7 separate regions of the Mus musculus genome follow, and regions 2, 3, 4, 5, 6 and 7 are each reported to be linked to region 1. Evidence: microRNA targets listed by miRTarBase, many of them from high-throughput screens and not tested one by one. Region 1 holds a microRNA gene; each other region holds the end of a gene's coding sequence.
What was found. The annotated mature microRNA mmu-miR-26a-5p reads UUCAAGUAAUCCAGGAUAGGCU and lies in region 1 at 2,507-2,528, opposite strand. An mRNA with a match to its seed (bases 2 to 7 or 8) in the 3' UTR can be bound and repressed. Matches are read on the target gene's strand: a 7mer-m8 pairs with bases 2 to 8, a 7mer-A1 pairs with bases 2 to 7 and ends in A, and an 8mer does both.

Region 1 (4,364 bases):
TCAGGAGTGTTTACCCTGCGACAGTGTCCATGGCAGTGCCCAGAGAACAGTGAGGGCTCAATGAACGTCTGCTTGATGGGAATCTGGGGCTGTGCTGAGCCGTTCACATGGGCCATTTCATTTAATGAACTCTAACAGGCAGATGGAATTATCCCCAATTAGACAAGAAGAAACCAATGTGCCAGAGGTAAAGGAATTTACCAGAAACCATTCAGCTCCCAAGGCTATCAGAACTCCCAACATTCTGTGCCTGCCAGTGACACTTGACACCTGCCTCTTAACTTGTTCCTCCCTGAAACCTGTGGCCATCAAACACGGGGACACAGGGACTCTAAAATCTGGCTGCTCTTCAATGCGTGAGGGAGACTCCCCCACACCTGCATCCATCCACAGTCACAATGGACGGGTCTTGTGGTTTTGTCTGTGGATAACTGGTTTCAGGTGGCTGCATAAAGCAACTTCATGGAGCATTTGTTCCAAATGCTCCCAGTCACCATGGTAACCAGAAACCTCTCAGCCTAGCAGTGTGCACATGGCCTGCATCTATCGCATCTGGGGTGGGAACCTGTCACCGTAAAAATAGCTTCCTCCACCTTAACAAAGGGCTCTTGGCAGCTTGGGGGGTGTGGTGGAGGGTGGAGAGGTTGGGATGACGGCTGGGAACAGGACGCAGGATGCAGGACACAGGATGCAGGACGAAAAGGACGCACCTTGGCCAAGCTGGCAGTAAAGAGCACACACTCAAAGAGCTGCCCCATCCTCTGGAGGAACTCGTCCACGTGAGGTCGCTTCAGCACATACACCTGCGGTGGGAGGAGACAAGAGCTGTCAGTCATAGCATCCAGGGACAGCGTGGGCCTTGGAAGAACTGCCAAGGGGCCCTTCTCCTGTTGCCAGGCCTATGTACGATTTACTGAAGCTTGCACTAGGTTCTGCGTCTCAACCCTTGTAGAGAGAAAGGAAAGCCGACCACGTCGTCAAGGTTCTTGAGTATCTTCGGAGCCAGTAAGCAGAGCACAGCTGTGCCATGTCCAGTCGCAGTTGCTCATGCATCCACTTGGCACTTGCTGAGTCAGCCCCTATGTGGCCACAGGCCACAGCCTAGGTGCTGTCCTTCTGGAAGTCTAGGACTAGCTGCGGCCTCCAACTCTGAACATCCCTGCCCCCTGGGGTTAATGCACTTGAAAACTTTCTAGTGGACACCATGGAGGTCACCCTGCTTGTGTAGGGGTACAGAAAGCACTTCACATGGGTAAGGGGCTGCTTCCCACAGTTGGGCTCTGTGTATCCTTCTGATCAGACCAGACAGGCCTGCGAAGCAGCTGGTTTCACCTAACACCCAGGCTGCAGTCTCTGGAGGCTAAAGGAATGTGTAGGAACTGGAAGAGAGAAAGCAAAGCCAGGGAGAGGCAGTGGGCAGAGGGAGGGACCAATTAAAACTTGAGTAAATTCCACTAGAAGTTAGCTACATCTTTAAAATAAAACATAATTACCAGGTCTCAGCGCTGTGCTCAGTTCAGCTACAAGGCTGAATTGGAGCCCCCAATCCTCTGGAGACTCGTGTGGTGGGCCTTGCCGGCTCAGCTCACTCAGTCTTGAGCACACACTGACAGAAATTAGTGAACACAAGAAATCTCACAGTGGGGTATTCATTCAAGATAATTCTCCCTTCCAGAGGGCGTCTCAGAAAGCAACATCTGGCCTTGACCTTGAATAAAGAGGAGCTCACACGCTGAGAGAGAGAGAGAGCTGAGCCTCCAACCCGAGCAAAGTGTGAACGTGAGGATCGGAAGCGTCACAACACTTGGGTTTGTGTTGGGCCAAAGCCTGTGTCCACAGCCAACCATAGGCAGTGAGAGAAGCCCTGGAGGCTGCTCAGGGAGGAAGCAGTTAAGGTAAAGAGCTAAAGGTAGCAGTAAGCCACAGGGCCTCTAAGGGCAGACAGAGCAGGGGAGGGGGCTGCGGAAAGGGAGAGGAGACACAAGACTGCACCCCATGCAAGGAAAACACACTGCAGGACAGACTTCCTAGATGGAAACACTGCTTTGCAGCATGCCAGGAAAAGGCGCTTCCTAGGGCAAAGACCTGGAGAGAAAGCGGCTGGCTAGCTTTAGGAGTGGGTTGGGGGTCTGGCTCTGCAGCTGAGGGTGGAGAGAGGGGCCAGAGGAATATAGGTGGTCTATCCTGGGTGCCACCAGGATCCTGCTGAGCTGGGGTGTTGGGCTAGGCTGAGGGCAGAGCTGTGTGGCTGTAGCAGCTGCAGGACCTGCTTTGCTCATAACACTCGTTGTTGCTGGTGCCAGTGACTGGGTGTGGCCTCCGGTCCTGAGTCTCCGGGAGGACTGCTTGGCCAGCAAGCTTGGCTACAGGCAAAGGGTTGGAGATGGACGGGGGAAACTCTGTTGTTGCCGCCTTTAGCAGAAAGGAGGTTCCTGGGCCCAGATGCCGGCGTCCAGGCCCGCGTCCCCGTGCAAGTAACCAAGAATAGGCCCCTTGGGACCTGCACAGCCTATCCTGGATTACTTGAACGAGGCCACGGCCTTCGCCAGGGCCTCGGTCCTCCAGCTTTTGTACCTTCCTTCTCTCTGGAGTTTCTGCTCCCAGCCCTGATGCCCGGGGTGTCTACTGCCAAAGAGAAGGGGCAAGGGAAGCCGGGGTGGGTCCTGCACTCCGGACGTGCTTGTGGCCACGTGGTGTGAAGAATTATTTTCTTGGGCAGTCCTCCTGAGCCTCACCTCAAGGACTCTTCGACTTTAGACACAACAACCAGCGCAGAGGTCCTAACTGCATGGCGGGGGTGGAGTTAATTCAGTTGGTGCTTTGTGAATGGTAAGTGACCAGGTGCCTGAAACCTTCCCAGGTCCTATGTCCTGTAGGACAGGATAGAGAGCTAGGTGGGGGTAAGGGAGACAGGGGGAACCAAGTCTAAGGAAAGAGCCCTGGCTTAGGAGTCAGGAAATCTTATCCTGATGATTGTCATATATAACCTTCTGTCTGGGCAACGGAATGGCTAAAACAGCTGATTTCACAGCCCTGGATTGTTCTAAACTGCACTCAAGAGTTAAGGAGCCTTATTGGCATCGTTAAGAAATGACATCCTGTGTGGCCCAGGAACCAGGAAATGTCTGTCCCTTCCTGGGATATGAGGCCAGATACTCTCCCCTTAAGGCCTTGAGTTTGATGGGGGAGACAGTCTGTCCCATCACTCCTAAGAAACATGTGGCAAAACTATATCTACCTTAACCTCCAAGGCGAGCTTTTCTACCATGTTTCTAATGTATTCATAGACGAAGTCATTTCCAGAAGAGCTTGCTGATGACGAAGAAAAAATAAAGAAGAAGCAACTCCCCCAAACAAACAAACAAACAAACAACCCCAAAACAGAAAACCCCAAAAACCGGAAGAAGATTGATGCCAGCTGACGATGACAATTTATGCACAGCACCCTGCTGGTCTTAACACACCCTTCCCCTTTGCTCTGGGTTGAGTATTTGCTAAAAAAGACACTGGAGAAAACCACATGGGCAGAGAAGCTCTCACGGGAGCAGTTGGCATCAAAGTGGACATTTTTCCCAAGAATGCTCCGTCAGTGGGTGACTGGTGGCATTTTCCTGTTGCTAGGAGAAGCCAAAAGCAAATGCATGATGAAGTTGACCAGATGTCAAACCCGGCCAGCGGTGGGGACAACTAGGGGATTGCACAAAGGCTCCTAAAAGTTGAAATCAAATCAGAGATCATACCTAATATTTATTAACAGAAAAGGGTCCTCATAAACACGGTAAAAAGCAAATGCATGCATGAGGCAGAGAATCATTCACAGTATTTTTATTTAGCTTTTGAGACAGGGTTTCTCTGTGTAGCCCTGGCTGTACAAGGACTCGCTTTGTGGACCAGGCTGTCCTCAGACTCAAGAGATCTGCCTGCCTCTGCCTCCATGCCTGGCTTACTATACTTATTATACAAAGTTTGTTTCCTGAAGTTAGAATAAAATGGCCACTGAAGTGAGAATTGAAAAAATGATGTTCCCAGGGAGTGTGGTTACAAGAAAATGCTCTCTGGAACTGCAGGCTAACTCTGGTTCCTTACCTGGTGTATGGTTCCGTCGATTTCAACAGGAACAATGAAGTCAGCATTACTAATGGGCTAGAGAGAAAAGAAATTGTGATTAATACATATGAAAGGAAAGAGAAAATTGGAAATTGTAGCAAGAAAGAAGCTTGCCTGGACCAATGTTTTGACGATGGCAGGAAATAGTTCACAAGGATGCTGGCAGAGGCCTTGGGTCCTTGAAATAAACATGTAGGAAGGAGTATTTCTTCCTGTCCTGAGTGTCCTGGAGTTCCAGCATCTAGCCCAATCTCTTG
Region 2 (4,364 bases), not on the chromosome of region 1:
AGTGGTCTCAAAATTCACTACCTGGCTTATTAATAGTCATTTTTTTTTTTTTTAAGTTGACTTGTTCTTTAGGAAAAGGAATTACACCACAGTGAATGTAGCTGAATTCATTGTGCTTGCTATGTGCTTGGTACCATTTGAAGCAGTGTACCTGAATTAACATACTTAGTACTTTAAGAAGCATTGGCCTTTACCTTTGAAGAAAGGAAGACAAAATTTACCCAAAGGCATCTGGGAGTTGACAATTTGAAATCTGTTAGATTTAAGGTCCTGTATCCTGCTGCTTGTAATTTTCAGACCCACCAACACTAAAGCTGAAGAATTATAGCTTACAACTTATGTTAATGCCAAGTGACTAGGGTGACCAGGTACTAACAAATGCACAAGGTAGATTTTAATTTACAATTTACTTATTCCTATTTGTAGCCAGCAAGTTGCTCAGCATCTTTGGCATCAGAATAGCACTACTAAATAGGGAAGCCAGATGGCTTACTTTTGCATAAATCAGCTTAGTGAATGGTAACTCTCTAAGCCATTGCTGAGTCATAAGCCTTGAGGTTTTCTGCTTTCTTGTATTTGTCCAACTCCATCACATCTTCCTTCTATTCATCCTATTTTTATCTCTACTATCACTCTATCCCTTCACCCTTTATTTTGAAATCTAGTTAGGGATAAGACCAGGGTAGGGTCAATTGCACAGGTTAGGTCTGAGAATGGAGAACCAAAAATCTAGCTTAATGCATACAATGGGCCAGAGGGGTTGGCTCGGGGAGCTCTGATGAAATACAACCTGGCATTATGTCCTTAAACGGTCAGCCCTGAGTAGTAAGGAGGGGGGGGGGTGTCCTTTTCAAACTTTTGCAGTGCTTATGAACCCAAGGTTCACGCGATGCTCCTTCCATGTTGATTTAAGAGTGAATTAAGTGGAGATGAGCTCAGTAGTAGTTAAGCTGCTTGGGACTAGAAATGGGGGTTCAGTTGGTAACATAGTCTCCCATGCAGTAAGTCTTACCAAATAAACTGGGCACTGGTATGCATCTATAGTTTCAGCAGAGGCTCAGTTTAGGGACAGTGCAGGGGAAGCAAGACCCTATTTAGTACTCCACCTATCTCGAGTACACTTCCTGCTTGCCCATATTTCCTTCTCTTCTCACTGGCCTAGTTAAGTGTTTATGTACCTAGTATTTCTCAGGACCTCCTTAAGATTGAGGGCTCAAGCTAGCTTTTAAGATCTCACAAGCACATCTATGTGGTAGAGCACTTTTGAGATGGTCTCACCCCAGGACACCCCCAAATATAAATTATGTAGCTGAGGATCTCAAGTTCCTAATTGTCCTGTTCTTGCCAGTGGGCAATTTGTCATTTTTGTCTTGAGCAAGCAAGCCTCTAAAAACTTGAGATAAGGACTTGCTATTCTTGAATAATTGGATGGATACATGAGCCATTCTGGAGACTACCAGCAATTTAACTATGTCTATCTTTGCCTCCCAAGTGGGAGGATTAAAGGAACAAGCTGCCATCACCACCAGGCAAAGAAAATCAATACATTTTGTGTAACATTAACACCATAGCAGGGTTTCTGATTGCTATGAATTAAAGCTACATGTCTATGAAATTAGTCTCATCTTAAAGTCTCTTAAATGGCCAGGCAGTGGTGGCGCATGCCTTTAATCCCAGCACTTGGGGAGGCAAAGGCAGGCGGATCTGAGGCCAGCCTGGTCTACAGGGTTCCAGGACTTGAAAAACCAACTCTTAAATGTTTTTAGTGCCAAGAAAGAGTAAAATACCTATCTAGCATATAGACTAAATTCCTGCCATCACAGAAGCCTCTTGACCCCTGTTCTGCTTGCTTCTGCCATCCAAAAGGCAGCACTTAATTGCCAAAGCCTTCAGACAGTGTTGATTTCCCAGGACGGATCTCCAAGTGTGAATAAAAATCCTGACCTCCATAAACCGTGGTGCATGCACAGTATAAGCCAGGCTTTCTAAATCACTAAGCTTTTATCGTAGTCCTGGTTGAAAACTTTATTGCTGGCAATGGGTAGCAGATGCTATAAATTTTAGCTCAGAAAGCAACAATGGACAAGTAATAGACACAGTTTGGGTAGAACCTAGCATTTTATTTAGATCTTCATTAAACTGTTGGAATTGAGAACCAGACATACGTAATAAACCTCCAAAAAATAGATCCTGAAAGGCACTTTCTTGCTTAGGGCAAGCAGTCATGGAATAAGCATGTAAACAAGCTGGCTTCTCTGTACCACACCAGCCAAGTCAGCTTTCTCCATGGCCAGCTGCACCAGCTCTGCCCTCCCTTCTGTTAACACCAGCCAGACCCCCTGTAGGTCTAACCCAAGGTTTTTCTGTAGGACACCTTGGCCTACCTGGGAATGCTGGAAACATGTTAAAGGAATTCATGGTGTTGAAGAAAAAAAAAAATCTTTTAAAAGCTGCCATCTGAGGTGATGGCTTCTCTGTACTTACGCCATACCCCAGAATACAATAAATAAGCAATTAGAAAATGTTCAAGTATGAAGGGATTTCCTCCTCCCCGCCAAAAGCACTGCTCTCTGAAGGAAGCTGGTTTCTCTGTAGCTACACCAGCTGTTCAGAAAGCTCATTGGACCTGGTTTTGAAAATAAAACAAAGTTAAAACCCTGGGAGGAGCTATTGTGCAGTGTGGAGTACTCTTTCTTATAAAGAAAAAAAAGTTACCTGGTACCAAAGTGTGCAACCTACAGACCCTCAGGTACTGCCCTGTGACTTCTCTGTATATCACAAGGGTGCCAAATGCCTGTTTTTCTAGACTAAAAGTTGGTGAGGTTTGGCTAGTGCTGAAACCATGCATAGGGTTGGTTTACTAAATAAAACCTTATTACGTACGTCCTCCAAAGACAGCTGAAAAGTGGAGAGATTTTGATTTGGTGCTGTTTGAGGTGGCAATTAATAGCATAAGCACCAGGGAGATGGTTTAATCGTAACTGCCTTTTTTTTTTTTTTTTTCAAAGTCAGGCTAGAGCTCCAACTGAAACTTTCGTTTCATGCAAGATTGATTGGATAGGAACACTCCCTGATAAAGAACTACATAATTAGAAATGAGTTACAGGGAGGATAAGGACAGGGGCTTCACATTCAATAAATAGAGCTCAAGACGTTACAGATTCATGCTGACAGGGCTGTGGCATTGCCAGAGTCTACAGTCAAACTACAAGTACTTTACGTGCACACTACAAGGATGTTTTCAGCATCTGGTGGGAAAGTAATTGCAATTAGGACTTTGGAGGATTAGGTGATAGGGCACAAAGGTTCGATTTCAAAGCATTATTCACTACAGTGTTTGTTTCTAGGCAGTTACATGGCTCACCTATGCTCACTATATCCATTATAATGGTGAACAAAACACCTAGGGACAGAATAGCAAGCCCAACTTACAGTCCCCCACAAAAGCTAAAATTCATGTCATTGATTAGAGTGACTGCAACTGATCAGGAGCTGAAAGAGGACAGAAAAATTTAGGAAGAAGGCCCTTTCCCTCAGAGCTTGAAGGCTTCTCTGTAACCTACGCCAACAAGTCTGGGGAAAAAAGGCTAACACTTTCAATATTTAAGCTTTTTGGGCACTTCCCATGGGAAGCTGTCCCTACCAAAGTGGCCATAGGCTGCAGTCCTCTGATAAATTGGCTTCTTCAGATCCAGATCCCTGGAATATACAAGTCCATAACTTAATATGTAGCATTAAATTAAAACAGAGCAAAACAATCAGCAAGACTCATTTCAAGAGTTCTGGCAAATGAGTTCAGTTCTCCCTGGGGTTTGCTAGGAAAAAAGTTCATGGCGAAAGTATTTGTTACTTCCCTTGTGTTACTTGCAGTTTTTATTAATAGTAACTACAGTTCTTGTTTTCCAGCTCTGGCTTGACAAATGAAAACTTATCATTCTCAGGAATTCCAATTGAATACTTACCAAGGTCCAATCACTGACCACTATGGTTATTTTCTTTGTAACTTTGAGCATCCCACTTTAGCTTATTCTTAATGTAGCACCCTTAGTTAAGATAAGCACAAAGCTCAGAATCAAAGATGGAGAACTTTCTAGAATGTTATTTTAAGTCACAGAACACTAACTTAATCAGCTAGATCCCTGTCTGAAGACAATTTAAAATATTGGCATGTTCTAGGAATTAAAATTTGTTTCCCCTCACGAGAAGTCTACCTCTATCTCCTCAGATTTTAGTATATATGTCCCAAACCCCTATCTCACTAGCAATAGGTTTTACCATCTTTACCTGACAATGACCCCAGGGCGAAGATCAAAATTCTTCTTTACAATTTCTAATAGCTCTCTCTCACTCTTCTGAGAAGTGCC
Region 3 (4,364 bases), not on the chromosome of region 1:
CTCTTTTTCTTTTTTAAAAGTAAACTTGTCGGGTGCGGTGGCTCACACCTGCGACACGGGAAGCTACGGCAAGAGGACTGCCTAGAGTTCAAGATCAGTTTAAGCCAAATAATTGAGTTCCAGGCCAGCCTTGGCTACAGCGTGAGGTCCTGTTTCAAAAAGTAAATAAATAAAATCGGAATAAGATACAGGAAGGGACGAACTTCGCATCACCCAGAGCAGCTGCAAAAGCTGCGAAAGGGAGGCCGACCTAATGTCAGCGCGCGGCCGCAGAGGCGCTCGCCCCGCCCCTTCGTGGACGCGAGCGCGCCCGCCCCTTTCAGCGCGGCCGTAAAGAGGGGGCGCGGAGGTGTCGTGAAAGGGGTCGCAAAGCGCCGAGCGCTGGTTGACGGTTGAGACTCCATTTTGTTCGTCGCTCGCCCGCTCGGCAGTCACTCGTCTCCGTGGCTTCTCCGAGGCGGAAAGTTGGACCGGCGGCGGAAGTTTTGAGGACTCGGCCCGAGCTCCGTCCGTGAGGGTCGTGCAGACGAGCAGAGCAGCGGCGATGCGGCCCCTGGACGCGGTGGAGCTGGCGGAGCCCGAGGAGGTGGAGGTGCTGGAGCCCGAGGAGGACTTCGAGCAGTTTCTGCTGCCCGTCATCCACGAGATGCGCGAGGACATCGCGTCGCTGACGCGCGAGCGCGGGCGCGCGCCGGCGCGCAACCGGGGCAAGCTGTGGGAGATGGACAATATGCTGATCCAGATCAAGACGCAGGTCGAGGCCTCCGAGGAGAGCGCCCTCAACCACCTGCAGGGTGCCGGCGGCGCCGAGCCCCGCGGCCCCCGGGCGGAGAAGGCCGACGAGAAGGCGCAGGAGATGGCGAAGATGGCCGAGATGCTGGTGCAGCTCGTGCGGCGGATAGAGAAGAGCGAGTCTTCGTGAGGAGCCGGCCGCGGTAAGGGCGGGAGCCTGGCGGGGCGTGGGCGACGGTGGGGGAGGAGGCTGGCTTGTCGCCTCGGGAGTAAACTAGGCCCCCCCTGGGGAAGGAGTAATAGCAAATCGTCGGCGGGGAGACCGTGGAAGTTTCCAGATGGTGCTGGAGAGCATGGGGCCCTAAGTGAGACAGCGTCCAGAAGGGGGCCGGGTATTTGCTTTGCTGTCCGGACAGCGTGATTAACCTCTCGGTGATGAATCTCTCCCGCCCGTGCCTTAGGTTTCCAGCCAATGGATTCTGGTTGAGTGATGGCGATTGGCTGACATGACACCCTGGAGAAGCTGAAACCAGAGAGCCTTTTGTTTTCCTTTTTTTTTTTTTTTATCTCCTTCTTATTTTTTTTTCTTTTCCCCTCTGTCTTCCCTCTGTTTCTCACTGACACTACGTTTCTGCTATGGTCTGCGGTTGACGACCTCGATATGAGTTTTTGATTATTCGGTGGTTCCTTTTTTTTGTTTGTTTGGGGGAAATAACTTTGATTTGGAAAATGCGCTCACATACGGGAATTAGGGCCTAGATTGTAAGCCCTGTGGCAGTTGAATAACGTTCATTCCTGGCCTTTGGTTGTTGTTCCTAAATTTTGAGGTGCTTTGCTCTTTCTTGGGTGACCTGATAGCTCCCTGAACTTTGAATCTCTGTGACACTTGAGACTCAGAGTTGAAGCTCACCGCCTCTGAAAGTTCTGAAGGAGCTGTGTTAATTCTCGAAGACTCCATGCAGCAATGGCAGAAGAGACCAGACTTCATCCGGGACAGTGGATGGGCCTTACATGGCTAGGACTGATGACCTGGGAGAAGGGTCGGAGGATAGTATTGTTTCTATTGGGGGACTTTAATTTCTGTGTGAGACCAAAGGAGGAGAGATGTATTTTGTGCAAAATTTAAATTTTATGTGCTACACTATCTATTGTAACCTGCCTGGTGAGTTTGTTGGGACAGCCTAACTCATTTCTAAAAGAAATGGAACCTCGGATGGGAGAAGAGGTCTTGTTAGTCTGTACAAGTTGGTATCCCCATATATTCGAGGAGATCCTGGCCATAAAATGAAAGATCCTTGCAATACCCTGTGTGGCCTAGGAAGGAAAACCTGCAATGGACCCAAAACTTAAAAGAAGAGGCGTCTTAAAGGTTCATATGTAGTCGAACTATAAATGTATGAGTGGCAGACCTGATAAGCGTTTGAGGTCAAAACCCTTACCATGTTGAAAACAAAATCTTACATGTTAATAAAAGTATTCGTTTGCTTGAAAAGATCAGCCCGGAGAGTTACTAAGAAATATTAAGTGAAGTCTTCCTTCAGTGGCCTGTGTTTAGTTTAAATGAACATTCTCCAGTTTTGGGAGTCTGGGTAAGCAGAAGGGGATTTCGACTGCTGTAGGAAACGTGAGAATAGGAAAGTCTTGATTCCTAGTAGCAAGTCCACAGTCTTAGCCTCTGAGACCAGTCCTTTTACTTGCCTTTTACTTGACTCCTGTTCTTTACCAGTCTTGATGATACAACAGCAACAATGTATTGACTCCCTTCAGACAAGAAGGGCTGGGTCCCCAACTGCTGGGATTGACCCTGTGTGGCCATCATCTCATTCCTAGGTGGCCAAAGTCTAGGGCCCTCCCTTTTAAGGACACCCCACCCTAGACATCTTAGAATTCTTGTGTCTGCTGAGGGAACTGCAGCCCAGCCTAACTTCTGACTGCTCTGCATGTTCCTATCCGGGAGTGACCATTGAACCTCACGTGTATGGTTCCTTCTTGGTACTGCTGAGGCACCAGCTTCTGGGCTCTTAACAGATGCAATTGCCTTAGAACATGGCAGGGGTAAGGAAGGCTTTCCAGAGTGTTGTTTTGATAAGCTTGGCCTTGGATGAGCACAACCTCAGAAGTCAGGAAGAATGGGATAGGCCAGGCACAGGGAAATGAGACCAGACACTGGTGTGGGTTCTAGTAGTGGGGCCAAAGGTCCAGTAAGAATGTGACTCAGGAGGTAACCAACAAGAAAAGGCCATGTTTGGCACATTGCTATGTACTTTATTCAGAATTTATTTGCCACAGATAAACCTTTACTGTCCCAATGTAGCATATCGCATTGGGTTGCTGATTTTAAAGTGATAATCAGGGCCACAGAGATGGCAAGCCTTCCACTAACCCTAAGGAACTAAGTTTGATCTCAGGGACCCACATGGTAGAAGTCAGGAACTGAGCCTTGAAAGTGGCCCTCTGACCTCAACATGCCTTACTGCAACCTGTGCCCCATCTATAAATATATATATTAAATTTTAAATGGCAAGAGAAATGGTTCAGCAGTTAAGGGCACTTGTTGCTCTTGAAGAGGACCCAAGTTCAGTCCCCAACACCCACATGGCAGCTCACAACTCTCTGTAGCCCTTGATTAAGAGGATTCAACACTCTTGAACGTCCAAGACACTGGCATGCATAGTACACATGCATGCAGGCAAACATACATAAACATAATCAAAAGGTTTTTTGTAAATAAGACAGTTCAAGATAGAAGTTCTCTCCTAAGCAATTGAATTATCTAACCTTACCAACATTACATATATTTTAACATATGGCTCCTCCTAGCTTCATCCTGGTTTTAGACAGGTTTTCATTGTATAGCTCAGGCTGGCCCCACTCTGGAGTCCCCTAAGAGTGCATCAGCTTTTGAGAAGAAACAATAACAACAACAAAAAACCCTGAAGCTTAACACCCCTCCCAACCACCCTTCTAAAACTAACTTGGAAGCTTCCCTGTGTGAACATCTATGTCTGTGTGGTTCCCTCTTTACAGAAAGGAGGTGTCGCCCACCTGGGGTGATGGGATGCTTGGCACAGACCCATGAAAGAGCCTCTGGTGAGCACAGCTCTGGCTTCTGAGCACTCGGCAGTAGAGGATGTTCTTGAAGAAAGCAGTTTTAATGTTGGTGGCCACGGCACAACACGGGGTGAGGGACACGTTAATGGATGTCTGGCTCCAGGAGAGGCCATCCTGACGAAGCAGGGGAACAGAAGACTCGAACTCTCCTGTCCTGCTCCCTATCCCAGGGTCTTTGGCAGGCACTGGTCTGTTGAGGTTCTCTGGGAGCTACGTTTCCCTGGGGTGGAGGACTATAGGCATTCAATGCTGCTCACACCTGGACTCTGTTCTCTACCCTCTGGGCATGCGGTAGGGTTGCACTTCCTGATCCCTGTGTTTCACTGGGACCATGTGAATGCTTCTAGAGCCTTTGAGCTATGAGGGAAGGTGACACCTGTCAGTCCAGCCAGATCCCCTTATGTGACATCCTCCAGAGTACGCTCTGCAGCCTAGCAGGGGCGCAGCAACAGTTGAGGGAGTGGTTGGGAGTCACCTTGTTCCTTTATAGTTCTTTGCCATTCTGTGCCTAACATGTAACA
Region 4 (4,000 bases), not on the chromosome of region 1:
GGTACGGATGTCTTGAATCTCCTTTTGCACCCCCAGGTCTTTCCCTAGGACAACTGCAGGCGGGAGGGCTCGTGATGGCCCAGGTGTCAAAGATGGGCCCCTGGTTCTCTCCTAGGGCTGTGGGCTTGGGCTTTGGGGAGCCGATATCAAAAGACCCCACCTACGCACTTAGTGGTGAAGCAGAAAGCAGATAAAAGCCAAATGGGTACCAACAGAAACCAAGGGAGGGGGCTGGAGCAAGGCAGACCTGTGCCCACCCATCACACGTGGTCACGACTCCTGTGGAACACTGGGGGTAAGATGTCCCAGGACTCTCACCAACTTTGCCTCCTGCCAGAACTCCCAGGCTAAGCCCCGCCCCCGTTCCTCCTGGGACCTCTGAGTGGTCTCTCAAGGCACATTTACTCTCTCCAACCTCAAACTTCCCCAACGTACACCATCCTTCCCAGCACCCAGGGCTAAGGAGGCTCTTAGTAGGGCAGCTCCAGGGCTCGGCAAGATGTGGTGCTGCCGTAATTTGGTTGAACTCTTTCCAACACAGCCCTACCTCTCCTGCCCGCAACAAGGGAACGGGAGCAGGCAGGAACACGGATGGAGGAACTGGGCAGGCAGCTTATTCAAGGATGAGGCCCGCAGGACCGACAATAATCTGACCTGTGTGACCTTGCTCCTGAGGAAACACGAAGCTTGCTTAACTAGAAGCTACTTGGGAACCTTCAGCCCCACCAGGAACAGCTGTTCTGCCTACCTTTGTGGGACTCGGTCTCAGTGGGGTGAAAAGCAGTATGGGGTGGGGAGCGTTTTAGAGAGGGACAAACTTCTGGACCCCTGGGGCCTGCCACAGTTCCACGCCTTCTGCTTTCTTACTAAAACATGTTTACTACATCAGATACAAAACCAGAAGATCCAGGGACACACAGAGCATAGCTCCCCAGCGGGGCAGGGCGGGGCAGGGTGAAAGAAGGGGATGCGTCTTCCTCTACACCACCCCCTCCCCACCCCAGAGAGCCTAAAATCCTTCACAGCTACCCGGGGATGTTCTGGAAATCCAGCTGGGGCAGAGAAAGAATCAGACTCCATCCTAGCGAGAGCAGGAAGTTTCAAGTAACTCCAGCTGGAGGGAGGAGGAAGGGGAGGAGGGGGAGGAGAGAGGGGGGCGGGATGGCTGCTTCTAGAATGCAGAGGGCTGATGTGACTGAGCCAGGGACCAGAGGATGGTTGCAGAGGTCTGAGGAAGGGAGGGAGGAAGAAGAGGATGGGAGCAGGTGACAGTCACCCGGAGAGTCAGAACTGTGTCGTGGAATGAGAAGCACTTTATGGAGCTTGGTGACATTTCCGTATTCCCCCCGAGGAGATGACGATTAAGGTGGCCATTCCAGGGTGGCAGAAAGGAATGGGAAGGAGGAGGCTCTTCCCTAAAGTCCAACCGATCAATACTCAGTGGATGTGACCAGCCAGTGCCCCTGAGAGGCTGGGGGAGAGCCAGACTGGGGCTTTGTCCTGGAAGCCTCAGCACAAGGTCCCCAGTAGCTAGCTGCCCAGCCTCTTCCACCACACAGGGGGCTGCCCTCACTCTTCCTGGGCATCAGGGTGGCCCTCGGGTATTCTCTCTCTCATTCTCTCTCATTCTCTCTCTCTTTCTCTCTCTCTCTCTCTCTCTCTCTCTCTCTCTCTCTCACACACACACACACACACACACACACACACACACACACACACGTATACGCGCCACACACACGTACGCGTACCAAAGGGTATCAGAGGCCCAGGTAAGGAATTCTTCATCAAATATATCAAGGAAATTTCCTTTGAGAGGGGGAAGTGGGGAGCAATAGACACACAAAACCCCACAGGACATCTGGGTAAAAGCCCCTTCCACCCGGCCTGGAGGTCTGAGGGCGTGCTGAGGCATGGCATCAGGGCCTAGCTGCTCAGTGTGGTCCCCTCTGATAGATACACCGTTCTCTATTCATATATGCTATAGGGCTTTAAATAGAGTCTGGGGCATGGTTCTTCTAGGGCCATCTTGGGGACCCTTGAGACAGAGGAAAGTCATGGCTGAGAGGACTAAGGCTTTGGGGCCTCTCCTCCAGGACCTTCTGGGCACAGGAAGTCACAGCTCCCCGTGGTTCCTCACAAGGGTCTCGGGGACACGCCCTTCTATTGGTCGGGGCAAGAGGGAACCATTTCCTAGAGGGTCAGGGAGAAGGTGAGCAGACACGGGCTGCTTGCTGGTCCTCTGCTCCTTGGGACAAGGGGGACCCTCGCCAGGGAACAGAGAGTGCAACTGCAAGCCCTCATAGCAGGCTACTCCAAATCTCAGCTATATGATGACAGTCCCCATTCGCCAAGAAAGCAGCCCAGAGCCCCATGAGGCCACAGGTGCTGACTGGGTTAATCTGAGGCCTGAAATCAAGGGACCCATTGTCCTCTGTCTCATGATTTCTGCCTCTTCTGCTGAGCTATCTCTGGTTACTCGGGACTAGGTTGAGAGATAATCTATCAGGGATGTCCATGCTTTTGACATTGTGACAGAGGATTAACTCCTCAATCCAATTATCAACAAACAAACTAACAAAAAACAAACAGCAACAAAACCCCTGTGTTTTAAGTAAGTTTACCTCTTTGTGTTGGGCCACAGAGACAGCTATGCTTAACCACGTGCAGCCCAAGGGCCATTAGACACACCTGCGACGAGCTCTTCGGATGTCAGGAGACGGATAGTAAGCCTTGCTGTGTGTACAGGTCCTGCCTCATCACCACAAGACCGTGGTGGGGCTTTCATATCAAATCAGCCCAATTTGGGGAGGACGCTCAGCTTTCAGCTGCCTGCCCTCCCTCCCTCTCCCTGGCCTCAGAAGAGGAAGGAAGAAAGGCAGGATGGGGTAGGGCTGATTAGGCAGGGCAGGGATTCCAGGTGTTGGGCTGAGGGGCAGGATCAGGGACATCTCATTGATTTTGGTCTGTTAGTGTATCCTTGTGTGTGAAAGTGTGCATTTGAAAATCAATAACATAGGGACCTTTGGGTGACTCACATCACACACACACACACACACACACACATCTCACATACACACATCTCACATCACACACTCACATCTCACATCATACACACACATCTCATATCACACATACACACAAGCCACACTCCCCAGTCCTCCCCCACTGGAGCCAGGGTCCTCCGCACTGACTTCCGGATCCATTTGCTAAGTTGCCTGCTGTTGTCCAGGTCTCTTCTGGCCTGTCTTTCTGGCCGTCGGCACCCTGGCCTGCCGAGGCCGTCGAGGGCTATCTACCAGATGTAGCCTCCATCATCTGCCTCACCCGCCTCACCCTCCTCCTCCTCGGCCTCCTCCCCTGCCTCTTCTGTCTCCTTTTCTTCCTCATCCTCCCAGCCAACGCCGCTTCCAAAGTCCCCGGAGAAACCCACGATGTCATCTGTTGGGAAAGCACACGAAAGGCCGGTAAGGAACCCACACACTGTGTCTACTTTCTGAGCCTGGAGTCCTGCCCCACGTACGCCACCCTGAGAACTAGCCGCATGCTCCTTACCACAGTCAGGGGTCCCATGCATGCGTGTGCCGGTCAGCTCCAGGCCCAGCTGGTCCACACACCAGCAGTCACCTCTGCTCTGGTCACACTGCATCTTCCGGTAGTAGCCATCTTCATCACAGCTCGGGATGAAGACACCTGAGGGTTAGGGCAAAGAGCCCGTAGTGTGGGCTCTGGAGTCGTGTGCGAGCAGGGGCCTCGATGGCCTGAGAACCTGGCCAGCTTGGTACTGATACCCACCCCCTAAGAAACCAGACACTCAGGGCTACTGACTGGAAGCACAAAGCTTCCTTCCCCAATGTCCCTGTGTCACATGCTCAGGCTTCTTCAAGGATGCTATCAAGTGCTGGTGTCATGGCCTTCATCTTGTAGGACAGTCTGGCCCCACATGTTAGAAAGCTCGATCCTATTCTTGGTTTTGTCTCCAGCTAGGAATGTGGAGTTTCTC
Region 5 (4,364 bases), not on the chromosome of region 1:
CACATATAGTAATAGTAATAATAATAATAATTAATAATAATACAGGTTCACCAATATAAGTTGCTTCAAACATACTTCTGAGTTGTCCAGTAACTGAGTCAAATGTTTGAGTTCACATCAAAACTTAAAATAATTTGAATTGAATGAAATCAGAAATGAGTTCCTCTGAAGATCCTAGCCACACTCCCAGGACTCATTAGTCAAGTGATTCTTGTACCTGACATATATTCATGCTGACATATAAAGCCCACATAATGTAATTCAAGAAACAGGTCTCCGCAGCAGTCACTGGAGCCGAGCCCAAATGAAAAGAAGGTAGTGTCTGATGTCTGGGAAGCTGGAATTCCAGGAACAACTCCCTGGGATAGGGATGGAGTTGTCCCAGCAAGGAAGAGAGGGAAGCTGGAGGGGGGAAACCTGGGAACACAGGTAGGGCCAGGCCAACCCAGAAACAGGACAAACACAGGTAGGTATTTGGTCCTTGGTCCCTGGCTGCTGGTTCTTTCCTAGCTCGCCTTCCCCAGGTAAATGTCTTTCTTCTCTTCGACCAGCACCTCATCCTCTATCCCGTTTGTCTCCCTCTGCAGGGTTTGGCATCAGCACTAAACTGTGGGATTACTTTTTCCACACCCTCATTCCAGAGGAAGCCCACCCGAAGATGCAGTGACAACCCCTAGACCCTCTGTTCTGCCCTCGGTCTATCCCCAGACCCCACCCATGTCCTACCCCCCACCTCCACCTAGACCTGCTGAGGTCAGCTTGGCCAGGCATGACGGGCTCTGTCTAGCCCTGGGGCCTGGTGGAGACCTGAAAGCAGGGCTTCCCTTCCGGCTTCCTGTGTGAGGATAGCATCCTCTTGATAGCCGTGGCCCTTGGGGACTGGCTCATTCCCAGAGAATGATGGCCTCCCCGTTGGCATTCCTGCCTAAGCTTCAGCCCTCAGTGCTGTTTCAGGGTCCAGACATTGGCCCCAAGGGGCATGAAGGAAACTGACCCCACCTGTGCCTTAGAACCCTGGGCTCCCTGGGGGCTTCCCCATGCAGCAGAGGGACCGGTGTCACAGCAGAAGCATGGCATGCAGGCCTGTGGCCACATCGTATTCTCCTGTCCTTTCTTGGGAGAGTTTGATGATTCAGAAGTAAATGAAGGGCTATTCCAAGAAGAAACAGCATGATGCCTCCCACAGGCCATTCCCAGACCCCAGGACAGCCACTATGGGCCCTGCCAACCCCAGATACCAGCTGTACTATCAGCTGCGGAAGTAATCCAGTACTTGTCTGCCTGGGCAGAAAGCACAAGGGTGCCTGGCATCCTCTGCAAGGCTGACAGGAGCCCTGGCCCTTGTCTTTGGGGATCAGCAGTGGCTTTCTCTGTCTCCTCTCTCCCTGCCCAAACCACAAAACCGCTCCCCAACAGAGGCTGGAGAAGTCTACGTTGGTGAGAGCCCCAGCCTAGCCCCGGTCATACTTGGCCTCCATCTGCACAGGTAGAAACCTGCCCCACTCAGGACCCTCCCAGAAGTGCCTCCTGAAGCCAAGAAGGGACTTGTATGTGGTGCCTTATCACCCACCCTCTCCCACCCAGACTGTCCTTCCTTGTAACCAGAGCCCTCACTGCTCCTGAGTCTTATTTATAAGCTACATAAATATTTTTAATCTGGCCCCAAATGAAGTAGCTGGTCAGATGGCCCTTTCTAATCCTATGTATTGAGCTTATGTAAAAGACAAAAAAAAATCATCTTGCCTTCCTTTTTGTTCCTTTCTTACCCACAAGCGATTACTACTTGAAACTTATCAAAAACCCAATGGGTGCAAAGACTAAAGAGAGGCAGTGTGACCAGTCTATGATTTGTACTGTTTACGGTGAAGCTATCTAGAGATTTTTGGGATAAATATACAAAACTGCACTTGTGAAATAAAGATGTAAATAAATTGTATATTTTGAAAAATAAAACATTGAGAAGAAACCAGCAAAGACCCATTGGTGTTTGTTGATGGTGACTGGACTCCATTATCACTAGGAAGGAGGGACACTGACTGGTCTAGAAGGAGGAAGATGTTATCACTCTGAGCAAGTTGTACCCAGTTTCTGGACAATGGGATAATAAAAAGCTGACAGGCTGGGTATGGTCATAGTATATGCCTTTAATCCCAGCAGAGGCAGAAGCAGGTGGATGTGTTGAGTTCAGTGCCTGCCTAGTCTACAAAGTTCCAGGACAGCAAGGGCTACACAGAGAAATCCCATCTCAAACAACAAACAATGAAAAACCAAAAAGTTCCCCCATCCCTCAATACCTACCCACTGCCCACAGTTCCTCAGTATAAACTCTAGCCCGGCAATCATCTATGCTGGGATTTTGGCTAACTTGATCTTGGATAGGTCTTACACAGGTGACCACAGCTACTGTGAGGTCATGATTTCAATAACATATAAAAAAAAGTAGTAAAAATAAAAATTAAAAAAACAATAAACATATAAAACATGTAAACATAAAAAAGACAGCATCTCCCAGCATTCCTCATTCTCTATGCCTCCTCTTCTGTGATGTTTCCTGAACACAGTGATGTGGAGTTAATATAGACACTCTGGGGCTAGAGAGATGGCTCTGTGGTTAAGAGCATTGATTGCTCTTCTTAAGGTCCTGAGTTCTAATCCCAGCAACCACATGGTGGCTCACAACCATCTGTAATGAGAACTGATGCCCTCTTCTGGGATGTCTGAAGACAGCTACAGTGTACTCACATACATACATACATACATACATACATACATACATACATGCATTTAAGAAAAATAATACATTTCTGTTTTAGTCCCAGGTGTAGGACATGGGGCTGCTTCAGACTTCAGACTGTCCACAGCAGCTGACTATGTTACCTCTTGCTGTAGCAGGGGCGCCATTTTGACAGTGGCAGACAGTTCTCAGCGATCGTGTGACTCTGGGAATTTGGGGGACTCTTCAGAGAGTATATAAACGCTAGGGCCCCAAGAGCTGGATGTCTTTTTTTTTTAAGGTAGTCTTGTGCAAAGAAGAAACAAGAACAAGAAGAAACTAGATATCCTGAAGAGCAAACTTGTCCCCCAAAAACTTGATACCCCTACGCAGCAGAAAGTACTCTAACAGTAAAGATGTCGGTTTTCCCAATCTATCCTTTTTTTCTCTCCTATCTAGTGTTAGGAGGTTGAAACAGTGGAAGAAATGGGTTGGAGAAGGGTGGAAGAAAAAAAGAACCCACCAATAGCAAAGGCAGGCTACAGGGGGTAGCCAAAGGCAATAAATAGCATTTAAACAATCTATCCAACCTCAGCAGAAATTCAAGAAAGCATGTTCAAAAGAACTCATTAAATTCTGATCAGAGCAAAGCAAATACACACATTGTCTCTTATTGATCTAGCAATTGTTCTTGCCTGAGCACCTAGCGCCAGCCAGGTGTTAGCACTCCCCAGACCACTGGGTCTTTGGGTGGCGGGAGGAACTACCCCTCAGTTCTGTTCTATTGCATTCTTTCTTTAGCTCTGAACTCTGATCTCTGCTTTGTACTTTGTATCCTTTTGCCTTGTGCACAGAACAATAAGCTACATGTAGCAAAGCCCAGTATAAGTAAGTCAGCCTTGTCTCCGTCAGATCTGCCTAGGAACAGTTGGGTTTTTGCCTTCTGGTCCCTGGACTCTGCTGCCCTCTGGTGACAGCATGCAGCCCCGCCTTGTTAGGGCAGTCTTCAGAGTTCCTGTTTAGAAACCATGCTTGTGTGATTAGTTTTAAAACTTCCCGTCTTGTTCTCTGGTCTAACTTCCCTGTCTTATCTACTGTTTGGGGAGGAAATGAATACTCTCGTGTGGATTTCCAAACAGCCGCAGTGGCTGGAATTTCCCTCACAGGTATTCTGCCCAATGAATGAGTTGAATCTATAATGCATATTTCAGAATAAGTGTAATCCTTGGGAAATGCTGGAGCTCCTATCTTCATCCCACACACACAGAAAGCTAACACAAAAGAGGGGATCCCAGCTTCTCCTAGGCTCTGTGGAATACAAAACCTCCAACAAGAACAACAGTGAAGATGACACAGGACACGATTGAGAGGTAAGAAACAGTGGTTGGGGGAGGGTTAACTTTGAGAAGCATCAGAGAAACACGCCAGGTTCATTTACTTGAAGACAAGACACCAGAGTCTTTATACACTAGTCAGTCCCTTCCCCCATTAGCTTAAGATTCTCTTTGAGGGCATCACCTGTCTTTATTTATAGCCACCCCTGCCATCCATCTGTCTTAGTCCATTTTGTGTAGCTATAACAAAATGCCTGAGAGTCGGTACTTTATTAAGAAAAGAGGTTTATGTCACTGACTGTTTTGGAGGCTGAAAG
Region 6 (4,364 bases), not on the chromosome of region 1:
AAATAAAACACTTTTAAATAAATAATTTTGGAATTACCCCATTTCTGGTAATAGTCACCCTCCCCAGCACAGGGCTCTGCATGTAAATGGTAAATGGCTGTTGTAAGTTCTTTTGACTTTCAACTAGACAGAATGAGAAGAATATGTCCAGTGGCTCGCTAAGCAACAAGAGTCTCTTACTTTTTTTCTTGGTTATCTATTGTTGAATTTGAGTATGATTAAACTGCAGTTCCTCCCAATGTTTTCTTATCCCTTCATTTATGTGGGTCCTTAAGGGATATTACCATCTTAGGCACAGAGGACTGCTTCAAGTTTGAATTTAAGTCACACATCTAATTATGAACACTAAATGAATTTTGGTATACAAACTGAAGTCTGTCATAGATTTTTAGCTCTTAAAGTTTATTATTAATAATATAAGCACATTCATTTTTCTTAAAGGGCAGCATTGAGAATTGTACATATAACACATTATGAATAGAAAACAAGTAAATTTTTACCTTATAAGAATAGCTGATACAAAAATAATTCACCTGAGAATAAATTCTCTCACTTTATGTAATATGCTATTTCAAGGGGAAAGATGAGAACTCAATGTTAACAATATTAAAAATACATTAAGAAAAAGCATTTAAAAGCATTTGCTATTTAAAAAAAAAAAAGTCCTGCGTTTTGAATGCTACCTGAAAATGTAAGATGGCATTGTAACAAATGTGAAACGCACGATCGGAATGAGACGCTGAGTGACCAACAAAGAACCGGGAAACCAACACTCACCCTAGTAAAATTAACTGTGCTATTCATTTTCCTAGAAGATATTCTTAAGACTAGTAGCAAAGCATTGTCATATCATAACTGGTTATAAGTATCTATCCTTGTCTTAATAAAATGTAAGATCTTACAGAGCCGAACAGTTCATCCTTCTACCCAAAGAGCCCACTCTGAAACGCAGTCACTGGAAGGTGTGCTTAAAGTATCGAAACATGTTTTAACAGAGAAAACCAAAACTGGCTACAAATAATCTCTGACAAATTAAAGTTTTGGGGGAAAAAAAAGAACCCTGCTTTTTCCTAAGAACAGCATGGAAAGCAGGGAAGAGCCCACAGAAGGCAAACCTCCCAGAACGCTTTCCACTGCTTCCTCCTGACCGGCCCCTCTGCTGCAGACAGCAATGCCTTCAACTCGGCAGAGTCTGCCTTTGTTCTACTCTTACTGTTTGGCCACAGATGGAAAATATAAGGCAGGAAGGTGACGCTGCAGTTTGTTTTCATTTGTTGCTAACAAATACACTTGTTTCTTTACCTGTATTGAAAAGAAACAAAGTTCTGAAAGCAATAATTTAAGATAATTTAAAATAAATCCATGTATAAAACCAAACTATCCACTGTAATATGAATGAACACACAATATAGAAGACTAGACAGTGCAGTCTCGACTTTCATTCCCTAGGAAAATTATATTTTACACTGAGCACACACTGAGCAATGCTAATAGACAGTGACCAAGTCTATATGAGAAAGAAGGCGATATGGCCTGTGTTCACCATCTCTATGAGACAGTTCTGTCTTAGGAGGGCCAAACGCTTTTAAGACACAAATGAAACCTACCCTTTTCGGTAACTGTCCTAGTAAACTATAAATGCAGCTTGTTTGTTTGTTTTTAAGGGTATGTGTTCTAGGTTACAGAGTTACAAAAATCACATCCCCCCCAAAAAAAGGCCCAAGGTACTTAAATTCTAAAAGATAGCTCTTCAAGTTTACGGCACCATTTAGCAATGACTTGCTGAGAAAATACAATGTGCAATTTATAATTTATCAGCAAAAATAAAGATTTCATCTTAAATACATCTTGACTATATTGGTCATGCAGTAATCATTAATTAAATGATTAATTAAATGTAAGATCCTTAAAGGATCCAAAATTATAATTTGGTATCAGGAGGCAAGCTACTGCCAATGAAACCTTACAAGAACTTGGGGGAGGGGCGTGTCATAAAATCCAAGCAGACTTGTAGGATGGTTCTATTACATTAGAGTACCTCTGAGATACGAGACTACACAGATGCCTTTAGGAAGGTGGAAAGAAACTGTCAAAGCAATAGAGAAAGTTGCCAGCCATGTGCCACCTTGTACTGAGAAAGGAAAACTTGAATTAGCCACTAGTGCCTAAAGTCACACATTTTACTACCCAACAGGACTAAAAGTTCATTAAATCTTCCCAACATTAAATAATTAATAACTTCACTGAAAGCTTGACCATTGAAAGTTGGTAGCAAGCCCTCTGTTCTTGCTATTGTTCTTTACGTCTCTGATGCAAAAGTCACACCACAATATATGTTTTTACAAAGCTAACACATATACAACAGCCTGAAATACAGTATCAACTACATCATATACTTGTATACCTGTCCATATGAGTCATAAAATCAAATATTTCTAAGATTAATTATCATATTTCAACTCTGTCACAAGAGTGAAACTCTAATTTTTATTTCTTAATTTAACCCTTGAAAGAGCTCCTATATTCTACCATGTTCTGAGGTGACCTTTTAAAGGAAGGTATATGCTGACCTACTTAAAACTCAAGAGAGTCAAGGAATCAAATTTAGTAATAAAGATGGTTATCCATTAAATGTCTCATCTAAGAATAAACTTAAATGAGCCCTGTATGAGGAAAGGCAACAACGCGCTCTCTCCCAGCTCGCAGTCGGGTGTCTGGAGGGAAGTAGAGATGAACTGGCCACCTCGACAAACAGCTGTCACTGCACTTTCAGAGACCTGGACTCTTACATACTAAGACTCTAGTCAGAGTCTTTCTGTGAATAACGATCACCAAACACATTTGAATTTTAATGTAGACAAAAGACATACAACCTGAAACATTTAATTGCCCATATCTGCAGTCACTAGACTGCGGCTTCCCTTTATTTCCTGTGACCAACGACTGCCACCTAGTGGACGTTACTTCTCAACGGTTCCACATTTACACAGGCCAACTTCCACTAAGAGCTTCTTTTAGACATATCAAAGGGAAAGCCAGTTTCTGCATTGCTTTGTGTCTCTCTTCTATGTTATTAGTCAGGCACTGGTCTTTTTAATTAGCACTGGGAAATTACATAATTATGTAACATAGTATAAAATTTAAATATTATTCAGAATTATTCTTTTATTATTTCTTTAAATCCTAAGTTGAGAAATATTGTTTTTGTGAAACGTGAAGGTAGGCATATAGACTACCTTCAGATATAAACATGCACATGGACAATTACACGCAAATTTATTGAAAGAAAATCCAAACCATAACCATGGTGTGTTAATTAAGGACTTTAAGAAATTTCCAAGTGCTTTCATTTTTTTTAATAACTATTCAAGTAATAAGCTTTTAAAATCAAAGATAAGATAAAAGAAGAAAAAAATAGAATAAAAAAGAATAAACCAACTCAGGGTCGGTAGGCTGGGTGAGCATAAACATTCAAAATACTACTCTATCCTCCTGCGTCCTTTCCCACCAGAGAGTGCTGGCCAAAGTCCCACAGCTGTTATCTTCTTCCTCTTGCTCTTTAGTAAGTTCTACAAAAACCTAGGTAAAAGGAAGAAGGAAAAGTCAACTACTGTATCATTCAGAGGACTCTTAACTAAGTCAGAAACGATACAATGCCGTAACTAACATGTAACAAGTATCAAGGGATTTTCTAATATTGATGCTATTCAAACAAAGCAAGGTATGCCCAGTAGCTACAAAGACAAACACATATTTAGAGGGTTAATACATTTTCTGATTAATATATCAAGTAGTAGTGTCATAAAATAAATTAAAATTGTTTAAACAATTTCAAGTATTCTAATATAAAATAATGCCATGAGTCTTTTAAATATTTAATAAGATAAACAAAAGATGTTCAAGCTTAACAAAATTAAATGTACTTGAATTAACTGTTCAATAGTATACATATATATCAAACCATCGCACTGTAGTCAATAAATATAAATAATATGACTATTCAATTAAAGATGTTTTAAAATGGAACTGAACAAAAAACTAAGAGGAAGCTAAAGTTGCAATTCCAATTAAGTTATAATTTGAGGATGGTGAGATGGCTCAGCAGTACCTTTTATCAAGCCAAAGACCTGAGTTCAGTCACCAAGCCACATGGTTGAAAACTGACACCACTAAAATGTTGTGGCACTTGCACATCCACACATGAAACAAGTAAGTAAATGTACCTTAAGTCTATAGTTTTAAATGTCTATAATATGGGTTGGCGTCTACACTCTAAGCCTAAGCAATTGCTACGAGGTACAGTCAACTGTAACCTTTTCTAATATAACCTTACGGTACCTGTTCCAGGGTTGCTTGAGAAAAGC
Region 7 (4,364 bases), not on the chromosome of region 1:
ATAGAATTTGATTTTCTACCCATAAAATGGAGAATGCCTAGGTACGTGATAACACAGCACAAAGCCAGCATATAAACACTGGTACTATTATAGAAATTTCTATTCAGGGGTTCGGTATGTGCTCTTCCAAAAGCTCAGGTAGTTGGGAGGTGGCAGAACCTTTAAAAGGTAGCAGTCTGGTGGGAGGAAGTTAATTAGGAGGTGTGCCCTGCCCTGCCCTGCCCGATCACTGAGAGCCTAAGCTGTGAGGCTTTGGATGAGAACCCCCACAGGCCCATATATTTGAATATCTGCTCCCCAGGTGGTAGAACTGTTTGGGAAGGATTAGGAGGTGCGACATAGCTGAAGGTTTGTCATCAGGGTCTGCTTTGAGGTTTCAAAAGCCTATGCTACTCACACTGAGTGCTCTGCTTTGTGCTAGTGGATCAAGATGTGAGCTCTCCCCAGCACTTGGGAGGCAGAGGCAGAGGCAGGTGGATTACCAAGTTTGAGGCCAGCCTGGTCTGCAAAGTCAGTTCCAGGAGAGCCAGGGTTACACAGAGAAACCCTGTCTTGGGGGGAGGGGGGTGGTGAGCTCTCAGCCACTGCTCCAGTGGCTGCTGTCATGCTCTCTGCCATGGTGATCCTGGACCCTCTGAAACCATTGAGGCTCAAATTAAACAATTTCTAAGTTGCCTTGGTCATGGTGTTCTATGACAGGAATTTAACAGTAAGGCACAAATTAATGCCTTTCCTCCTTAGAGATTATTTCTATTTTGTTACAGCAAGAGAAAGCTAAGTAACAAGTTTACATAACAATTAATGGACAAGCCAAGTTTATATCCAAGGGTTACATTTATTTAGATCTTGTTTTTCCATAAATTACTCAAACTATTGTCAACAGACATGATGCAAACAGCTCCCACTGCTGCCTTGACAGGCATGGGCCACCAAGCCTGTCCTTTCTGGGGTGTATACAGGACTCGATTTCCTGCAGTTATGCTCATGTGGACTAGGTCTAACCTGTGCTAATAAACTTTGCCTTTATCACATTACTACGGAATAAAGTAATAATGAGTCTCTGAGAATACAAGTTAAGCCAACCACCTTGCTTCCAGCATCTTCAGAGACTCATTTTTCAACCACTTTGGAGCAGGCGACTTCAGAGTCTATGAAAGACTATTAAACCAGACAGACCATTAGGCCAGACACCCACCTCCTGCGTTTTCTCTTCTCATTTAACACAAAAGTAAAGTCTGTAAATGTCTTCTGCAGAGTGCACAGATGAAAACAGAAATCAAAAGCCTCTCTGTCAGGTATGAAAGTGTATGTGTTGGACAGCTGGGCCTTTGGAGCTGAGTGATCCAGTCTTTACCTTTCCTGGGACGTTAAAGCAGACTGTCCTACCCTAAACTTTTGTTAAGGCGCATTCAGAGCAGAGAGAGAGACCTTACATGACCCCAGCTTCTCATAGTACAAGTTACAGTGTCTGATGTATGGGGCAGGGGCCAGCTGAGCAGTCAGCAAACCTCTGTACAAGCAATACTGTATAACACAGAAAAACCGACCTGCAATTTTTGATTCCATAAGAGCAGAGAATTGTTGGCTCAGGTAGCTAACAATACCCTATGAGTAACCAGTCCCTGGCACACATATGAGGAATTCAAGCTTTCTAGAGAGAGAGATCTCTGTGGTGGGCTACTGTCTGTAACTGTGCTGTCATTTTTTTCCCCAGTCTAACCTGAATTTTGTATGTTAATTAAAAACAAAAAACTAGGCTCTTATGATGTTGAGAAAAGTTTTTCAATAAAGATGACTCCTCCCTCCCTCCCTCCCTCCCCCACCCCCTCTTTCTTTCAGACAGGGTTTCTCTGGCTGTCACTCACTCTAAAGACCAGGGTAGCCTTGAACTCAGAGATCAGCCTGCTTCTGACTCCTAAGTGCCAGGACTAAAGGTGTATGCCACCACAGCCTCAAGATGACTCTCTTAAAAAACAAGTTTGCTTTTATTTTATGTTCATTGGTGCTTTGTCTGCAAGTATGTCTGTGTGAGAGTGTCAGAAACCCTGGAACTGAAGTTAGAGGCAAATATGAGCTACCATATGGATGCTGGGAACTGAACCCAGGTCCTCTGTTAGAGCAGACAGTGCTCTTAATGCTGAGCCATCTCTCCAGCCCCTAAGATGACTCTTTGGTGGAATCTGACTCCCTCTTCTGGTGTGTCTGAAGACAGCTACAGTGTACTCATATATATAAAATAAATGACCATCAAAGTAAGAACTCAAAAGAAAAAGGAAGCCATGGTATCCCTTGCAGGAGGAGAGATTGCAGGACAGGTACTGGAAACTTTTCACTAAGCTGTAGTTCAGCAGCTTTTAAAAGTTCATGTTTATTCATATTTTTCAAAATATTTGTACATAAAAAAGGAAGATTTACAACAGGAAAGACTGCCTTCCATGCAACACAAATCCCAGTGACTCACGATGGGACCTCACAGGTAGGAGCCACCAATTCAAGCCCAAGCCTTAAGTCCATTTCCCAGCCATACGCAGCTGTGGGGATCCCAGGAGACACTTCAAGTGGAATGAATCTCAAACAAACACCTTCTCCTCTGGCAGCATGTAAGGGGCCAGAGGATATATACATCAAAAAGCTTAAGACAATTAAAATATTAAGTGCCACAAGGAAGAATAAATGATAAGCAGAAACTGTAGTTCTCAAGTAAGAAGCTAGTACTATTTTACACAACCTCACAACCCTAAACAAATACAAACAAGAAGAGGGCTGGGTAGTACAGCTTCATCTGCTTCTCCCCCACCCCTTCTCTGTTAAAATATCTCAAAAAGGAAACCGTTTGCCTGATATCAAAAGTTCTATGGAAAGAACAGGGTGGGATGGGAGTGGGGGGCACACGCACAGGTGAATCTGAAAACTGGTCATTTTAGCAAATTATGTTTTACCATTTAACATTTCTACATTAGTAATGGGAACTCTCAAACAGGGACAACTCATGCCCCAAATATTAAAAATATATCTAGACATTTGATCAAGAATATTCTGTCATTTTTGGTAATAAGCAACACCAGAAATCAGATTCCATGTAGTCCTGTACTTCCCCTTCAGTCAGAAACCAAGTGGTGCAGACAACTTGTGCTTGCTGTGAGGGGACAGTGCTCTGGGCAGCAAAGCGAGCTTGGCAGTTGGTCAGCGTGACCGGAGGAGAGGAGCCCTTCAGAATCTATGGGATGGCAGGGACGGGGGCTTCTTTCCGAAGTTAACATGTCCCCGACTCAAGCTGGAGACTGGTCAGTGGAGTGATTCAACAGCCAGGGTTAATCACCACAGCTCTAGCAAGTCTGCAGGCAGGACGCAAAGCCTTCCCAACACTGCTCCTGCGCCGTCTGGACTTCCAGCCCCAGACCTCTAAGTGCTCTACAAACACATCTCTGCAGTTGTTTAAATTAACTTGAAGGAGGAAAAAATCCTCAATCGGATCACAGAAAGAGGACGAGGGCTGGGGCTAAGATGAACAGAGGGAGCAGGGCAGTCACACAGTCAGCGAAGTCCAGGTTATGGCAGAAATTAAGGTGATGAAGAAGCAGGCACTGAACAGCACCGAAGCTCACAAATGTCTACGCTGCTCTGTGTCCATTCCTTCCCACAATGCTCACATGGGAAGAAAAAGTACAATTTAAAAGCATTATAACTAGAACAAATGCACACTGACCTTATAAAGTAAGATTCTGAATTCAATCATGATACCCTTTTCCCTATAAAATTTACTTTTTTGTCTTGAAAGACTTCTTCATGGCAGATTTGCCCTTCCCGGGCAGTTTCGCTTCCTTTCGTGCACTGGCTATGGGCTTTCTGGAGGAGCTCCCACTAGGCTTCTTGATGACTGAGGGAGAGGGTCTGGCTTTCCTGGCAGGGGTCTTGGCCTTGGGTGGAGCTTTCTTAGGCAGCGGCCTCACTTTCCCTCTCTGGGCAGCCGGGACTTTCCGCGCAGGCTTCGACCCTCTCTGCTTCATGGAGGCTGTCTTCCCTTGGGACTTGGCTGGTGTTTTCTTCTGTAAGCTGTGAGAACACAAGAATAAATGTATCACTGAGTACAGGAGAAAGCCATTTGCTAGGACAATCTCCTTCTGCTTAAAGAAATCACTTACATAGAAATCACTATGTTAAAAACAAAAACTTAGCTGGGCGTGGTGGCGCACGCCTTTAATCCCAGCACTCGGGAGGCAGAGGCAGGCGGATTTCTGAGTTCCAGGCCAGCCTGGTCTACAGAGTGAGTTCCAGGACAGCCAAGGCTACACCCTGTCTCGAAAAACAAAACAAACAAAAAAATCCCAAAAAAACAAAAAACAAAAAAAATTTGCCTTGATTTC

Region 2: miRTarBase lists Mat2a as a target of mmu-miR-26a-5p. Seed matches in the 3' UTR shown: 8mer at 2,525-2,532.
Region 3: the mRNA of Mrfap1 is a reported target of mmu-miR-26a-5p. The part of its 3' UTR that is shown has no 7-base or 8-base seed match.
Region 4: miRTarBase lists Spock2 as a target of mmu-miR-26a-5p. Seed matches in the 3' UTR shown: 8mer at 1,100-1,107.
Region 5: miRTarBase lists Fa2h as a target of mmu-miR-26a-5p. Seed matches in the 3' UTR shown: 8mer at 1,781-1,788.
Region 6: miRTarBase lists Abca5 as a target of mmu-miR-26a-5p. Seed matches in the 3' UTR shown: 8mer at 3,366-3,373 and 7mer-A1 at 1,750-1,756.
Region 7: the mRNA of Hp1bp3 is a reported target of mmu-miR-26a-5p. Seed matches in the 3' UTR shown: 7mer-m8 at 2,697-2,703 and 7mer-A1 at 2,554-2,560.

Annotation. Positions count from the first base shown.
Region 1 is chr9:119,029,975-119,034,338 of GRCm38, reverse strand. Mir26a-1 (microRNA 26a-1) reads right to left here and starts at 2,543; the gene lies at 2,454-2,543. It overlaps Ctdspl (CTD (carboxy-terminal domain, RNA polymerase II, polypeptide A) small phosphatase-like), which reads right to left. Exons shown (of 8, transcript NM_133710.3): 5 at 4,087-4,143; 6 at 711-803.
Region 2 is chr6:72,430,697-72,435,060 of GRCm38, forward strand. Mat2a (methionine adenosyltransferase II, alpha) reads right to left here. Exons shown (of 9, transcript NM_145569.5): 8 at 4,285-4,364; 9 at 2,100-3,699. The coding sequence ends at 3,597. Ggcx (gamma-glutamyl carboxylase) reads left to right here. Exons shown (of 15, transcript NM_019802.5): 15 at 1-410. Among named protein-coding and RNA genes, the nearest start is that of Particl, 5.8 kb to the right of the region's middle.
Region 3 is chr5:36,792,774-36,797,137 of GRCm38, reverse strand. Mrfap1 (Morf4 family associated protein 1) reads left to right here and starts at 384. Exons shown (of 2, transcript NM_026242.3): 1 at 384-935; 2 at 1,194-2,271. The coding sequence starts at 545. The coding sequence ends at 922.
Region 4 is chr10:60,130,774-60,134,773 of GRCm38, reverse strand. It overlaps Spock2 (sparc/osteonectin, cwcv and kazal-like domains proteoglycan 2), which reads right to left. Exons shown (of 11, transcript NM_052994.2): 10 at 3,553-3,690; 11 at 860-3,438. The coding sequence ends at 3,293. Among named protein-coding and RNA genes, the nearest start is that of Mir6906, 6.0 kb to the right of the region's middle.
Region 5 is chr8:111,342,745-111,347,108 of GRCm38, reverse strand. Fa2h (fatty acid 2-hydroxylase) reads left to right here. Exons shown (of 7, transcript NM_178086.3): 7 at 588-1,971. The coding sequence ends at 667. Among named protein-coding and RNA genes, the nearest start is that of Mlkl, 6.7 kb to the right of the region's middle.
Region 6 is chr11:110,268,988-110,273,351 of GRCm38, forward strand. Abca5 (ATP-binding cassette, sub-family A (ABC1), member 5) reads right to left here. Exons shown (of 39, transcript NM_147219.2): 38 at 4,339-4,364; 39 at 382-3,579. The coding sequence ends at 3,472. Among named protein-coding and RNA genes, the nearest start is that of Abca6, 19 kb to the left of the region's middle.
Region 7 is chr4:138,241,135-138,245,498 of GRCm38, reverse strand. Hp1bp3 (heterochromatin protein 1, binding protein 3) reads right to left here. Exons shown (of 13, transcript NM_010470.3): 13 at 816-4,053. The coding sequence ends at 3,759. Among named protein-coding and RNA genes, the nearest start is that of Sh2d5, 7.1 kb to the left of the region's middle.